Sus scrofa: one gene and its partner. The protein of the gene in region 1 interacts with the protein of each later gene in a biochemical or structural test. Links are inferred from orthologs where the notes say so. Each region holds a gene or a part of one and is shown on either strand. Other genes may lie near its edges.

Region 1 (7,038 bases):
GAGGTACACAAGGGGCCTGGCCCGTTGCCTCCCGAAGGGAGAGAAGGGAAGGAGGGTCCCGGAATGCCTTACCCCCGTGCGACGGCAGTGACACAAACGGCTGCAAAGTGGAATCGAAAGTGCGGGAACCGGGGGCTGGCCGCAAGCTTTGACTCGCAAAACCTTGAGAAGCTCCGCCCCCGCTCCTCCGAGCCGCCCCCCCTCCCTCCCCGGGCCCTCCCCCTCCCTTCCAGGGCCTCTCCTCTCCCAACACAGCCGCCAGAGAATTTCTCAGCTCTTCAAAGGCTAAGCGAGGTCCCGGTTGCTGCTTCCGCAAGGACCAGCCAGTCCAGGAAAGAGTTTCAAAGAACCTTTATTTCACCATTCTTTAACCAGTTATGCACAAATACAATGAGACAGACGACTGGACCCCAGGGCCGTCACGGACCCCTACAGTACGACTCAGATGGTCAAGACAGGTCCCATCCCAAATTAACCCTCCCGCTTCACACCCTGCCGCTCTGCCTCGACCCAGAAGCCGTAAACGGTTTAAATAATAAACAGCCTGGTTGGCTTGCAGTCTGAATCCTGACTGACTTAATAGCATTCAAGCCTTATACTGTAAATAAACATTATGGCTAATGATTAACTTAAACCACCATTCATTATAATACCAACCAGGTTAAATAATACTATTTTTTTTTTTAAACTATCCTCCTCCCTTCCGCTGGGGGTCAGGTTCTTCTTTTTCTGCAAGTAACTTTAATGAATAAAATATTTAGTGTATTTTACCGCTTTACCAACTGTACCCAAGGCCCTCTTCTGCAAACAGAGTGAGGATCTGGACCCCTTTTAGTAAACAAGCTCCTTCCCACTCACTTACCCTGGGATTAAGCCAAAACTTTTTTAGCAAGCTCACCCCCATCCAAGTTTTGTGAAACACCAGCCTCTTTTTCCTCTTCTAGGCACTCTGGGGCTAGATAACTTTGAGCAGATTTCAAACATTCAAGAAGCCATCAGGACTTCCTAGGCCTCACACATACTCATTTGCCTGCCCCTGAACTTTACTGAGAATCACACAGGAGCCTGCCTTTCACGTCTCATGTATCTATCACCCCCACCCGCCCCTACTGTAAATAAGACCTGCCCCCTGACATAAAAGGTAACTGTTAAATTTACTCTTCCTTTTAATAGAGGAGTTTTTTTTTATAGGATTAGCAAAATATTTCACACTACCTAATTTTTTTTCCCTTAAATAAAATAAAATGTATGCAAAATTACTACAATAGACACTGCTCAACAGGTGCTGGTGGGTTAATTAGCATACTCCTCCCTCCTGTCACTGAAGAGACCCAGAAGGTGGATATTCTTAAATGCCATCAGTGGGGTCTTTAAAAAACAACAGTGCCAGTTACTAAGGCTTTCAGGGAAATGACTTTCTCCTTGAGAAGGGAAGAGTAACAAAATTCCTATCACACTCTGGGTGTCATTTTAATACCACCTAGCTATGAGGCTTGGGATAGGTTTGAGAGATTATGAGAATAATTCTTGAAAACGACTTCCAAGGTTAATTTCTTTTAAAAACTGACAACAGATATCCTCATAAAAACATCCACCTTAAGCAAAGAAAAATACTCAACTTCAATACAAGCAGAAAGAAAAATGGTTCTATAGGAAGTTTAAGTTATACTCTTCAGTGTGCTAAAACGGAGAAAGGAGTTTTATCCAAATCAACTGAAAAACGCTCTTCATACAATTCATCCAATGTCTAAAGTGAAACTTTAAGTTCTGGTCTTTGATTTGCTCCAAAAAAATACTGCAGTGCAGGTTTTGTCTTGATAGTTCAATGATGGGCTCTATGTAGATTCATTAGATTAAAAATAAGCAAGGGCCTCTCCCCTACACCCCAACAACAGAATAAAGATCATCTCTGAGCAGCAGGCAAAGTAATTTAATACAAGGTCACTCCTCAGTAGCGGTGGCTGTACCAGTCGTTGTTGTTGACCTGAAGGAGTTCTGTCACAACCTGTAGGATGTTGTAGTTGTGTTTCTTCAGCAGCCTTAGGTTCAGCTGCCTGTCACAGAATCCCATTTCAAAGAGATGGGCCATCAGGGCTGCTGTCTGATCTTCAGAAACTATTGGCTGTGTAGAGTCAAGAAAAGCAGAACAACATTTTCTGTATAATTTGCGTTTATCTTATAAATTCTTATTATCTTAAGTCACACTGATCTTTCCAGAGGTGTTCAAAATACTAGGTAATTAGGTACAAGGCTATGGCACTTCTGTTCACCCGATGATAATGGGATTTCCGAGGGGATGGGAAGAACTGGGAAGTACCCAAAGTACCCCAAACTAGGTGACTAATGAACTGCCCTTTGAATGAGGCCAGATAAAGGGAAAGATGCAAACAAACTCTGGAAAAACCTGTGAAGAAAAAGGTAATCATCATGATGGGGCAAGCAGAAGCAAGAGAAGAGACTGATCCTGGAAGAAAAGGATGGGCAATTTAGTCAGATATGCAGAGGAGCTGGACAAAAAACTGTGGGAAACTATATCCTGGGCACCTTCTTGGCTTTTTTTTTTTTTTTTCTTTTAAATAATAGAATATTTATTTACCTCCTTCTTTGGGCCAAGCCCTGTGGTGAACACATAGTCTCCTTTAATCCTCCTAACACTTAAAACACCCTCTTACCATTTACTTACCAACTGTGTTGAGCACCAATTTTCTTAATGAAAATGAAGACACAGAATACTTAATTTTGCAGGGTTGTTGAGCCCATGAAGAAGAGAAAGTATGCCAATGTGTTGAGCACCGCCTCTGGTACTGCCCTCTTCCACTGTTCCCTTCTTCCCTCTTACTTCAGAATAAATTATCCATCTTCCTTTCCAAGTTAATCCTTCCACATGCACTTTCTTTTTTGTCTTTTTAGGGCCGCACCCACGACATATGGAAGTTCCCAGGCTAGGGGTCAAATCAGAGCTGTAGCTGCTGGCCTGGTTGCTGCACAGCAATAGCAACCCAGGACCGGAGCCACGACTGTGACCTACACCACAGCTCATGGCAATGCTGGATCCTTAACTCACTGAGTGAGACCAGGGACTGAACCCACATCCTCATGGATACTAGTTGGGTTCGTTACCACTGAGCCACAAAGGGCACTCCTTCCACGTGTACTTTGCTTTGTATCTCATTACCTCCCACCACCTCAGAAATATTTTCCCATTGATTATTCATAAATACTAATGTTCTATTAATTATTCCTATCTCATTCTGATTATTAACCTTCTTTGCTACTGACTGGCTCACGCATCTTTAAAAAACAGTCTCCCTCTGCCTCACATGTCTCAGTGTTTGCTCTCTTTTTCCCTTCATACAGTCCAGCTATTTAAAAGTGAGACAGGAGTTCCCGTCGTGGCGCAGTGGTTAACGAATCTGACTAGGAACCATGAGGTTGTGGGTTCGATCCCTGCCCTTGCTCAGTGGGTTAACGATCCGGTGTTGCCGTGAGCTGTGGTGTAGGTTGCAGACGCGGCTTGGATCCTGCGTTGCTGTGGCTCTGGCATAGGCTGGTGGCTACAGCTCCGATTGGACCCCTAGCCTGGGAACCTCCATATGCCGCGGGAGCGGCCCAAGAAATAGCAAAAAGACAAAAAAAAAAAAAAAAAAAAAAAAAGAAAAAAAGTGAGACAGACTTGAAGATCCTGTTGTGGCTCAGTGGTTAGTGAATCTGATTAGCATTCATAAGGATGGGGGTTCGATCCCTGGCCTTGCTCAGTGGGTTAAGGATCTGGCGTTGCCATGAGCTGTGGTGTAGGTTGCAGATGCGGCTCGGATCCTGTGTTGCTGTGGCTGTAGGCCAGTGGCTACAGCTCCAATTGGACCCCTAGCCTGGGAACTTCCATATGCCACAAGTGCAGCCCTAAAAAGACAGAAAAATAAAAATAAAAAAATAAAAATGAGACAGACTTGTACTCTCAAAGTCCTCTCTATCCCTTCACACTTCTCTGCAGGATCTCATGCTGCTGGCTATGTCCTCCTCATTAAAACTCCCTTCCCTAAGCTCCAGCACAGAACCCCCTCCTTCATTTTCCTCTAAATCCCAGTCCTCTCTGCAGGGCCCTTCTTCTTTCCATGATCTTTAGAGGCTGCTTCTAGCTTTACCCATTCTTCCTGGAAAATCATATCTAATCACATGGCTCCTGCTATAACCTGTACACACATGACTTTATTTCCAGGCCAAACCTAAGCCAGAAACTTTTATCCCTGACTTCTTTCTAGCCACTTAATCATCTCCATCCCTTTATTTCTTTGACCTACACTTGGGATTCCCAAATGGATTTCTTTTCGGCTCCTCCAGCCTCTACACTATGGTGGAGTGGAGTGATCCTACTAAGGACAAATCTGATTATGTTAATTACTTTTCTAAAACACTTCAGTGGCTTCCCACTGGCCTTAAAACATCAGGTCTTTTTTCTTTCCTCCTTTAAGTAATATAGCCAATGTCATGCAGCTGGAAGGTGGCAGAGTTGTGTGTTAACCAAAGATTAAACTTAGGAATTCCCACTGGGGCGCAGGTCACAGCTGCGGCTCAGATTCCATTCCTGGCCTGGGGAACTTCCATATGCCATGGGTGTGGCAAAAGAAAATAAATACACTTTTTAAAATTTTAGCCATAATTTTGTGTGGCCAAAAAAAAAAAAAAAAACAAAAAAACACAAAACCTTAAAGCTCATGTTTTCCGTGATGCAACACTACTCTCTCCAACACAGAGAGATGCCATCGTTTTCCCTGGTGACTTGGATTTGGTTCAGGAAAATAAAACATACACTGACCTGTGCAGTGACTGGTGGCCCAGCAAACAAGGCCTTGTATGCGGAGGCAGCAACAGACAAAGCCCCCTTCATCAGTCCTCCAGCAATGCTGTTCCCATGGTGGTGGTGCCTGTGGAGAAAAACCAAATTATCTTCCTAAGGAAACACAAACCATTATCTTCCTATAAGATAATTTGGGCTCTAACCCTGGAAAGAAAAAATTTCCTTGAGGGAAAAAAATCAGATGTAAAAAGATAATGTGGTTATTTCTGTATCAGTATTACAGCTACAAATCTGGGTTTGATATAGGGCACAGCTCTACTGCTACTAGATATGGGCACTGCAGAAAACACAGCACTCCAGTTAGCATGCCAGCTTTCAGCCCCAGCTGAGAATTAATGTGGTCAATTAATGAGGTACTGACAGTCTGTCTGCTCAATTATTTCAGAGGAAACATCGCCCAAAAGAAATGTGATCTTCTGAACATTGTAGGTAGGGAGGAGCCTGCCCTGACACTGCTCTGAGATGACTGGGAACAGAGACACAGGTTTGTCTATTAAAAAGTTACACAAATACACAGTGGGCTTGCCCTTCCCACTCTCTTCCTGGTACTAAGCATGAACTGAATCTGAGCGCAATTCTTCCTGGTCTGGAATTTGAAGACTCTCTTTTTTTGGGGGGGGGTGGGCAATGTCATGCAGAAGTTTCTGGGCCAGGGATCAAACCCATGCCACAGCTGTAATCAGAGCCAAAGCAGTGACAACTCTGGGTCTTTAACCCACTGAGCCAGGAGGGAACTCCTGGAATTTGAAGATTTTTTTTTTAAGGGCTACACCCATGGTATATGGAAGTTCCCAGGCTAGGGGTTGACCAGGAGCTGTAGCTGCTGGCCTATACCACAGCCGCAGTAATGCAGAATCTGAGCCATGTCTGTGACCCACACAACAGCTCACGGCACCACCGGATCCTTAACCCACTGAGACCAGGGATCAAACCCATGTCTTCATGGAAACTAGTCAGGTTCTTAACCTATGAGCCACAATGGGAACTCCCTGAAGACTTATTTTTTTCATTTTTATTTTTCGGTCTTTTGTCTTTTAAGGCTGCACCAGAGGCATATTGAGGTTCCCAGGCTAGGGGCTGAATGAGAGCTGTAGTTGCCGTCCTAAGCCACAGCCACAGGAATGTAGGATCCGAGCCCCATCTGCGACCTACACCACAGCTCAAGGCAATGCCGGATCCTTAACCCACTGAGCAAGGGCAGGGATTGAACCTGCATCCTCGTGGATGCTAGTCAGATTTGTTTCTGCTGAGCCATGATGGAACTCCCTCTGAAGACTCTTAAACATCACTAGCCCTCTGTTTAGTGCTGCTCACAAGCTTCAGAAGAAATAAGAACAAGAAGGAATGATGGCTGTCCTTCTCTGCTCTTGGGAGACGGCACATGCTCTGAGAAGCTCGTTTAAGCAGAAGCAATACTAGGATATCCACCTGCTTCTGAAGAAGAGGCTGCACAAGGTCCAGTTACCTTGAGTGGTCATAGCTCTTCTGTCTGCTGTTTACAAGTCCTGATGAGCCTCTGAGCTCTAAAAGCAAAAGAGCTGTTGGTTAGATGCAGCATCCATAAATGCTTGGTGTTTCCTACCTCACAGCAAGGCTATTTTTAAGGCAGGTGGCATCTGATCACAGTGTTTACAGTTTTGTTTCTTTTTTTTTTTTTTTTTAATATTTCGGAAATTTTGCAGGTGTTTAAGTGATAAGGGAAACTGTCCGGAATGCAAACTATTTATTGAATCAGCAAATGAATTCTATAATACTATCACACTGGTTTGCTAGTTCTCAAGTACTTCTGGGTTTTGTTTTCTGAGGAGGAATGGGAAATGACTCCGAGGATCTACTTGTAACTCCAAGGGGTTATTCCTCTTATTTTGTAGACAAGGAAACACCTTCAGGTGTTATAAGCCTGCTGAACTGCTGCAAGGTCACACAGTGAGAAAAGGTGGAGCTGGGGCTGGAACCTACTGCTCTGGCTCCACAGCCTGTGTCCTTTCCACTATTATAGCACAATGCCGACCTCTATGAGGTCTCGTTTGATAAATATTAAGGTAGAGGACAGAAAAAGTGAGTATGAGGAAAGAAAGAGTCAAAGGGCAAGTTTCTAAAAACTGTCAAGAATCTTAAAGATAGAAAGCCTCTTTATACCTGGTTCCAACTAGAAAGGAGCGTAGAAAAAGCAAAAGCTCAGG
Region 2 (7,737 bases), on another chromosome or scaffold:
CTGTTGCTGTGGTGTAGGCCAGCAGCTGTAGCTCTGATTCGACCCCTAGTGTCTGGGAACTTCCATATGCCTTGGATGCAGCCCTAAAAAAAATGTAAAGTGACCCCCTGTGATGGTGTTTAGGGAATAGGGAAGAAAGAGTTTTCACAAGGGTGGAGGGTACAGTCTTCATTTTGATCTGAACTCTGAAGGTCTCCACACTGAGGGAACAGAGAGTCTGGCCATTTAAGTAGGGCTGGGATGAAGAGACTGCTGGAGGAATGTTTCAGAAAATATTTCCCTAAGACCACAAGATCTCCTACCCCCAAATTTTTAATATAAAACTCAAAACCACATTACAAGCATAGTTTTGCTGTGGCTCAAATCCCCCCAGCTGTGCATGTTATTTTGTGCTCTGAGCTTCAGTTCTCTTTTTCCGAAGAAATAATTGAGAAAAAAATGTAGGTCGTGATTAGCACAGTGTCAAATACAATAAATGTGCTTCCTCCCTATTCCAGTGAAGGATAATATTGATGATGAAGACATTTCTGATGTCAATAAGCCAAGTCTGTTGTCCAGACTGACCTTGTCTTTTTCATAGACTCTGGGTTACCCCTCTGATCCTCAGGCTCTTCATCAACAGAACGGTGAAAACAATAACTTTCACTTATGGTTGTTTTTTTTCTTTTTTGTCTTTTGTCTTTTTAGGGCCGTACCCTCAGCATATGGAGGTTCCCAGGCTAGGGGTCTAATTGGAGCCGTAGCCGCCGGCCTATGCCAGAGCCATAGCCACACCAGATCCCAGCCTATTTCTGCAACCATACCACAGCTCATGGCAACGCCACATCCTTAACCCACTGAGCAACCTCATGGTTCTTAGTTGGATTCGTTAACCACTGCTCCACGACGGGACCTCCTGCTTATGTTTTTTAAATGATTTTTATTTTTTCCCATTATAGCTGGTTTACAGTGTTCTGCCAATTTTCTACTGTATAGCAAGGTGACCCAGTCACACATACATATATACATTCTTTTTCTCATATTATCCTACATCCTGCTTCATCACAAGTAACTAGATATAATTCCCAGTGCTCTACAGCAGGATCTCATTGTTTATCCATTCCAAAGGCAATGGTTTGCATCTATTAACCCAATTCCCAGTCCATCCCACTCCCTCCCCCTCCGCCTTGGAACTTTTGCTTACTGAGTTGTATGTGCGAGCCATTATTCTAGATCTGTTTACATATGTTAACTAATTCATTTGATGCTCCCAGTTTCACAAGGTATGCGTTATTTTTGCTTTTATATACAAGGTAACAGAGAGAGGTATCAATTGGCACAATGTCACAAGGCTAGTAGGTGGTAGATTCAGAGTCCAGCTCCATGTGGTTTAAGTCCCAGAGCACACTTTTTGGATAACATTAAAATGTGAAATTGTGGAGTTCCCATTGTGGCTCAGTGGGTACATGATGAACATTGTGGTACATCAGTATCCACGAGGTTGGGGGTTCGATCCTTGGCCTTGTTCAGTGGGTTAAGGATCTCGTGTAGCCATGAACTGTGCTGTCAGTTGCAGACATGGCTCAGATCCTGCATTGCTGTGGCTGTGAGGTTGGTTGGCAGCTGCAGCTCCAATTCGACCCCTAGCCTGGGCACTTCCGTATGCTGTAGGCATGGCCCTAAAAAGAGGAAAAAAAGTAAAATCAATAAAGAACATAGCAGTTGCTTGGAATATAATCATTGTGGTGGGAAAATGAGTGCTAATGATAGAGACCCCTCTCTAGGTAGGATCATGTGATTCATTTTCCTCTGTGGAAGGTGGGTGAACCCTCAAAGGTGCCACTTTAAGTCTGAGAAAGCCAAGTGTAAGTGTATCTTTTCCACCTGTTTTCCCATCTGAGCTGGTGGAAATGAAGGCCTTTGAGGTGACAGAACCTGCAGGTGTAAAGCAGAGAATGCCCTTAAATTTCTCCTGGAACAGAGCCAAACAGGGAGCCTCCTACATGTACTGGACTGCGATGTGGATGAAAGTCAAACTCTTTATGTGTAGCTGTTACATTTAAGGGTATATTTCTTTTTTTTTTTTTTTTTTTTTTGTCTTTTTTGCTATTTCTTGGGCCGCTCCCACAGCATATGGAGGTTCCCAGGCTAGGGGTCGAATCGGAGCTGTAGCCGCCGGCCTACGCCAGAGCCACAGCCGCGTCTGCAACCTACACCACAGCTCACGGCAACGCCGGATCATTAACCCACTGAGCAAGGGCAGGGACCGAACCTGCAACCTCATGGTTCCTAGTCAGATTCATTAACCACTGCGCCACGACAGGAACTCCAAGGGTGTATTTCTTATTGCAGCATAGCATAGCCTGTCCTCACTACAGAACAATTAAATGGTAGTAATGATTACTTTTTTTTTTCAAAATATAAATAGCCACGAAAGGAAAATATCACAAAGTTAATATGAAATATGTAGGATTCTTTCTTCTTGAGCAATAAAAAAGAAATTTTGAGGAAGTGCCCCTTGTGGCTCAGCAAGTTAAGAACCCAACTAGTATCCATGAGGAGTTGGGTTCGATCCTCAGCCTTGCTCAATGGGTTAAGGATCCGGCGTTGCCATGAGCTGTGGTGTAGGTCGCAGACATGGCTCGGATCTGGCATTGCTGTGGCTGTGGCGTAGGCCAGGGGCTGTAGATCCGATTCGCACCCTGCTTAGGAACCTCCGTATGCTGCAGGTACAGCCCTAGAAAGCAAAATACATAAATATATGTATATCTCGAAGCCCAGAGCTCAAGAAATTGGTCACATGATAATGGGTAGAGACAGGAAGGAAGGAGAGGAGGTCAAAAAAGGGAAGAGGAAGGGGTCCCAGGGCCATCATGACCTGTGGAAAGTTGTGAGGCCCCCACTGCATTCTAGCACCTCAGGTCAGCGCCCCAACCTTCTCCACTGAGCCTCAGCATCAAAGATGGACCTCATCCATGGAGGTGTGGCCCTAGGAGCTAAAGGTCTTCTAAGAAACCAATCTAACTACTGAGGCCAAGTTCATGCTCCTCCCTGCAGACTCAAAGCCTCAGGGTGAACTCGGCAACTATTGTCCTAGCTTCGTAGGCAGGGGTAAAGGCAAGTTTTTTTTTTTAATAGGGAAGATTTTTCACTAGTTGTGTAAAAAACAGAGTAAACTACTGCTTTTCTTTCTGTCCCTCAGCAAACTGGAGAATGTTTGGTCACCTTCCCCTGTGTCATCATCACTACGCTGAAGACTTCTCAGTGTCCTGCATAGAAGGGAGCCAGGGATGACCAGTAAAGGTCATGGTACCTCCAGAGACAATCGAGCAGAAGCAAATGGTCCTTTTTATTCTCAGGACGTGATGGATCTGAATAACACGGAGGGACCGCCGAGCTCCTGGGTGTGAGGTAAGGAGGTGCTTGGCATCAAGTGGGAAACGGGGTCACTAAAACCGTCATTAAGGCGTTCCCCTCATGGCTCAGTGGAAGCGAATCGGACTAGCATGCATGAGGATGCAGGTTCCATCCCTGGCCTCCCTCAGTGGGTTAAGGATCTGGCGTTGCCGAGAGCTGTGGTGTAGGTCACAGACACTGCTCGGATCTGGCATTGCTGTGAGCTGTGGTGTAGGCTGGCAGCTGTAGCTCCGATTTGACCCCTAGCATCTGGGAACCTCTATATGCCGTGGGTTCGGCCCTAAAAAGACAATAAAGAAATACAGAAATATCCTGAGTTTGATAAAAAGTGTTCTACCCACATTCCTAGACCTGTAAAAAATGACCAAAATATGCTGGAAAGCTGCAGAGTATAACACTACTTTGATACATGCCTAGATTTTTTTTTTTTTTTTGTCCTTTTTAGGGCTGCATCTTTGGCATATGGAGGTTCCCAGGTTAGGGGTCTAATTGGAGCTATAGCTGCCAGCCTACACCACAGCCACAGCAACACCAGATCCGAGCAGCATCTGCGACCTACACCACAGCTCACGGCAACGCCAGATCCTTAACCCACTGAGGGAGGCCAGGGATAGAACCCGCAACCTTATGGTTTCTAGTCGGATTTGTTTCTGCTGCACCACAACTGGAACTCCCACACCTAGATTTTAACCCTAATTTTACCTCTTTATCTGGACAAGTTACTCAGCCTTTCTGGAATATTCTTTCTTTCTCTTGCTTTTTAGGGCTGCACCTGAGGTTCCCAGGCTGGGGGTTGAATTGGAGTTGTAGCTGCCAGCCTACACCACAGCCACAGCAACATGAGATCTGAGCCTTGTCTGCCACCTACACCACAGCTCACGACAACTCAGGATCCTTAACCCGCTGAGCGGGGCCAGGGGTTGAATCTGTGTCCTCATGGATGTTAGTTCGGGTTTGTTACCACTGAGCCACAACGGAAACTCCCTACATTGTAAATCTCAATTTCTTTAGCAAAGACAACATTTTAAACGGTAGTGAGCAAAGTGACTTTCTCTAACCAGCAAGCAGGTGGCTGTTTCATTTCCATTCTGAAAAATGACCCCCTCCTGCCCAGGAGGGGAGGGCTGGAGAAGGCTGATGTCACACAGTCCCACATAAAAGCGTCCTTTGGGCTCCCGCAGGCAGTTTGGAAACAGCTGGAGGAATGAGTTAGGTACTCTTTTTTTTTTTCTTTTTTTTCAATTCAGACACAGACACAGCTGTTGAGCAAAATGCAGACTCCCCAGAAAAGCCCAAGCCTCAGACCCTTCAAGCAGAGGAAGAGCTTAGGTAAAGTTCTCAGAGTATTTGTCTGGGTTTGGGCCCTCGAGACAGGGAAAGACGAGGACACGGACTTCTGCTCCAGGCTGATATGTTCATTTCATCTTACGTGTTCACAGCAACCAGAAGAGAGGAAGTGGCTGGAATCCGGATGAAGTTCCCTGGCAAGATCCCGGTAAGACTCCACTGTGGCTCCTCAGCCGGGCCTGTGATGTCCCCTTCTTTGAGAAAACAAAACCCGGAGCTGCTGTTGTGGCTCAGCAATCACGAGCCCAGCTGGTAACCATGAGGATGTGGGTTCGACCCCTGGCCTCACTCAGTGGCCCAGGGATGCCGCATTGCCGTGAGCTGTGGTGTAGGTTGTAGACGAGTCTTGGATCCCATGTGGCTATGGCTGTGGTGTAGGCCAGCAGCTGCAGCTCCGACTGGACCCCTAGCCTGGGAACTTCCATATGCTTCAAGTGCAGCCCTAAAAATCAAAAGAAAAAAAAGACAAGACCAAACCCAGGCAGTGACCCCCTTCTCTCTATTCCAAGTTTCTAAGACACGGAGACTGAGGCACATTCTTGGGCATTTGCTTCGGGAGAGATTCAGGTTGAAACTCTTGACAGGTGATAGTGGAGCGCTACCCCAGGGAGAAATTCCTGCCCCTGCTGGACAAGACCAAGTTCCTGGTCCCCCAGGAGCTGACCATGACCCAGTTCCTCAGCATCATCCGGTAGGTAACAAAGTGCATGCAGGGGCCGGGGGTGGAGGTGCGCCCTGTGGCCCTGGGCTTCTTGGAACAACGGGAGATGGGCTACAGCAGAGAGACAGGGAAGGATGTGGGTTTCACCTTTTCTCTTCAACTCTGCCTTTTAAAAGGATGATGTTGAGTTCCCGTTGTGGCTCAGAGGGTTAAGAACCTGACTAGTGTCCATGAGGTTGCAGGTTTGAACCCTGGCCTCATTCAGTGGGTTAAGGGTCTGGCGTTGCTATGGCTGTGGCGTAGGCCAGCAGCTGCAGCTCTGATTTGACACCTAGCCTGGGAACTTCCATGTGTCGCAGGTGCAGCCTTAAAAAGAAAAATAAAAAGGGATGATTTCATGAGTAAGCAGTCTTAAAAAGAAGGAAAGTACTTTGCTACAACCTTGTAAGAAGCGAGAACCCCCAATGTTGATACACTGGCTATTTTTTCTTTTGTTTCAACATTTTGCTGGTACTTTGTTTTCGTTTGTATCTTAAATTTCTCCAAGAATTTTTCAAAGGAATCTTTGGAACCTGATCCAAAGGCCTCTGTTTTCAGCTATTTTAAAAGCCCAATGACAGCTTTGTACCTCTAAATGGTTCCCCCTTTGTGGCAGGGAGGGAACTGGGGGGAGGAGTGTGCTGTCCACCTGCTGGAATCACTGAGCGGGAGAACCAGCCCCTCCCCACATCCCGCTTCCCCTGTTCCAAACGAGGGGAGGCCAAGTAAAGGAAACGCTGCTGACTTAAAAGATGCAGCGGAAACAAATCCGACTAGCAACCATGAGGATGCAGGTTCGATCCCTGGCCTCACTCAGTGGCTTAAGGATCTGGCATTGCCATGAACTGCAGTGTAGGTCGCAGACGCGGCTCAGATCCCACGTTGCTGTGGCTGTGGTGTAGGCTGGCAGCTGTAACTCTGATTCAACCCCTAGCCTGGGACCTTCCATATACTGTGGGTGTGGCCCTAAAAAACAAAAAAGAAAATAAAAATAAAGCTTAAGGGATTGAAGTTGTCACCTGCTATCTGAACTCTAAAAAAAAAAAAAAAAAAAAAAAAAAAAAAAAGAAACTAAAAAATAACTTACTTAGGGCTCCACAAATATGGCTTAGGTGGTGAGTCTCCCTGTGCTGGAAACAACCTCTCAAATTTTTTGGCTGATGCAGACAGTTTTTTGAGAGCATTTATTGTGATTTTTAAAATGAGCTTTGGGGGAGTGTCTGTCGTGGCTCAGTGGTTAACAAATCCAACTAGGAACCTTGACGTTTTGGGTTCGATCCCTGGCCTTGCTCAGCAGGTTAAGGATCCGGTGTTGCCATAAGCTGTGGTGTAGGTCACATACTCAGCTTGGATCCCACATTGCTGTGGCTCTGGCGTAGGCTGGTGGCTACAGCTCAGATTAGACCCCTAGCCTGGGAACCTCCATAGGTTGAGGGAGCAGCCCTAGAAAAGGCAAAAAGACAATAAAAACAAAACAAAAAGGCAAAAACAAACCATGAGCTTTGGGAGTTCCCATTGTGGCTCAGAGGTAATGAACCTGAGTAGTATCCATGAGGACATGGGTTCGATCCCTGGCCTCGCTCAGTGGAGTAAGGATATGGAGTTGCCGTGAGCTGTGGTGTAGGTCACAGATGTGGCTTAGATCCCAGCATAGCTGTGGCTGTGGTGTAGGCCAGAAGCTGTAGCTCCAACTCAACCCCTAGCCTGGGAACCTCCATATGCCTCGGGCGTGGCCCTAAAAAGACTCAAATAAAATGAAATAAGCTCTCTTAGGACACTCTGCATTCTTCTCAGACCAGCTACACGTGAGGTTAATCCATGGAAACAGGTGATGCGGAAAGGAAACCACAATCAGGTGTAGATCCCAACTCCCATCAGCCTCTAGGATGCTGGGGTACAGCAGTGGCTCCACCAAAAACTGAGTTTGGACCCCATTTCCCCCTTTTTTCTTACAAATCCCCCTCCACTTTCCATGCACTCCCTGTTCTTCATCCCAGTCATCTTGATCTTTCCATGAAGGCATTGAAACCTACTGATCTGAAGCACCCATTAGGTATCAGGCACTGTGGGTTTCCACACAGAGAACAATGACCGAAACAGACAAAACCTCCTGCCTTGAACATCTTCCAAACTGGGGACTCCTCAGCCTTTCATGCAGTGAGAGCCTGGTGGAAGAGGAAAGGAGATGGAGGTGCAGTTTGGGGACACAAGAGCCCCACCTTCAGCTCCACCCTTTCCGTGCAGAAGAGAAATTGCCCACCCCATGGGAGCAGTGTAACCGTCAGGGCTCAGTC

Evidence for each region.
Region 2: the proteins of NBR1 (region 1) and MAP1LC3C form a complex in vitro, tested with the Homo sapiens proteins (2 studies listed by IntAct). The link is inferred for Sus scrofa from reciprocal best matches to the Homo sapiens genes NBR1 and MAP1LC3C.

The regions. Positions count from the first base shown.
Region 1 is NC_010454.4:19,755,401-19,762,438, forward strand, and holds the end of NBR1 (next to BRCA1 gene 1 protein), read right to left. Parts: intron 6,379-7,038; coding exon 6,321-6,378; intron 4,923-6,320; coding exon 4,814-4,922; intron 2,123-4,813; coding exon 1,949-2,122; 3' UTR 333-1,948; downstream 1-332. UniProt on the Homo sapiens protein: Ubiquitin-binding autophagy adapter that participates in different processes including host defense or intracellular homeostasis.
Region 2 is NC_010452.4:15,368,300-15,376,036, forward strand, and holds the start of MAP1LC3C (microtubule-associated proteins 1A/1B light chain 3C), read left to right. Parts: upstream 1-2,882; 5' UTR 2,883-3,390; intron 3,391-4,327; exon of another isoform or gene 4,328-4,643; 5' UTR 4,644-4,667; coding exon 4,668-4,725; intron 4,726-4,835; coding exon 4,836-4,891; intron 4,892-5,327; coding exon 5,328-5,434; intron 5,435-7,737.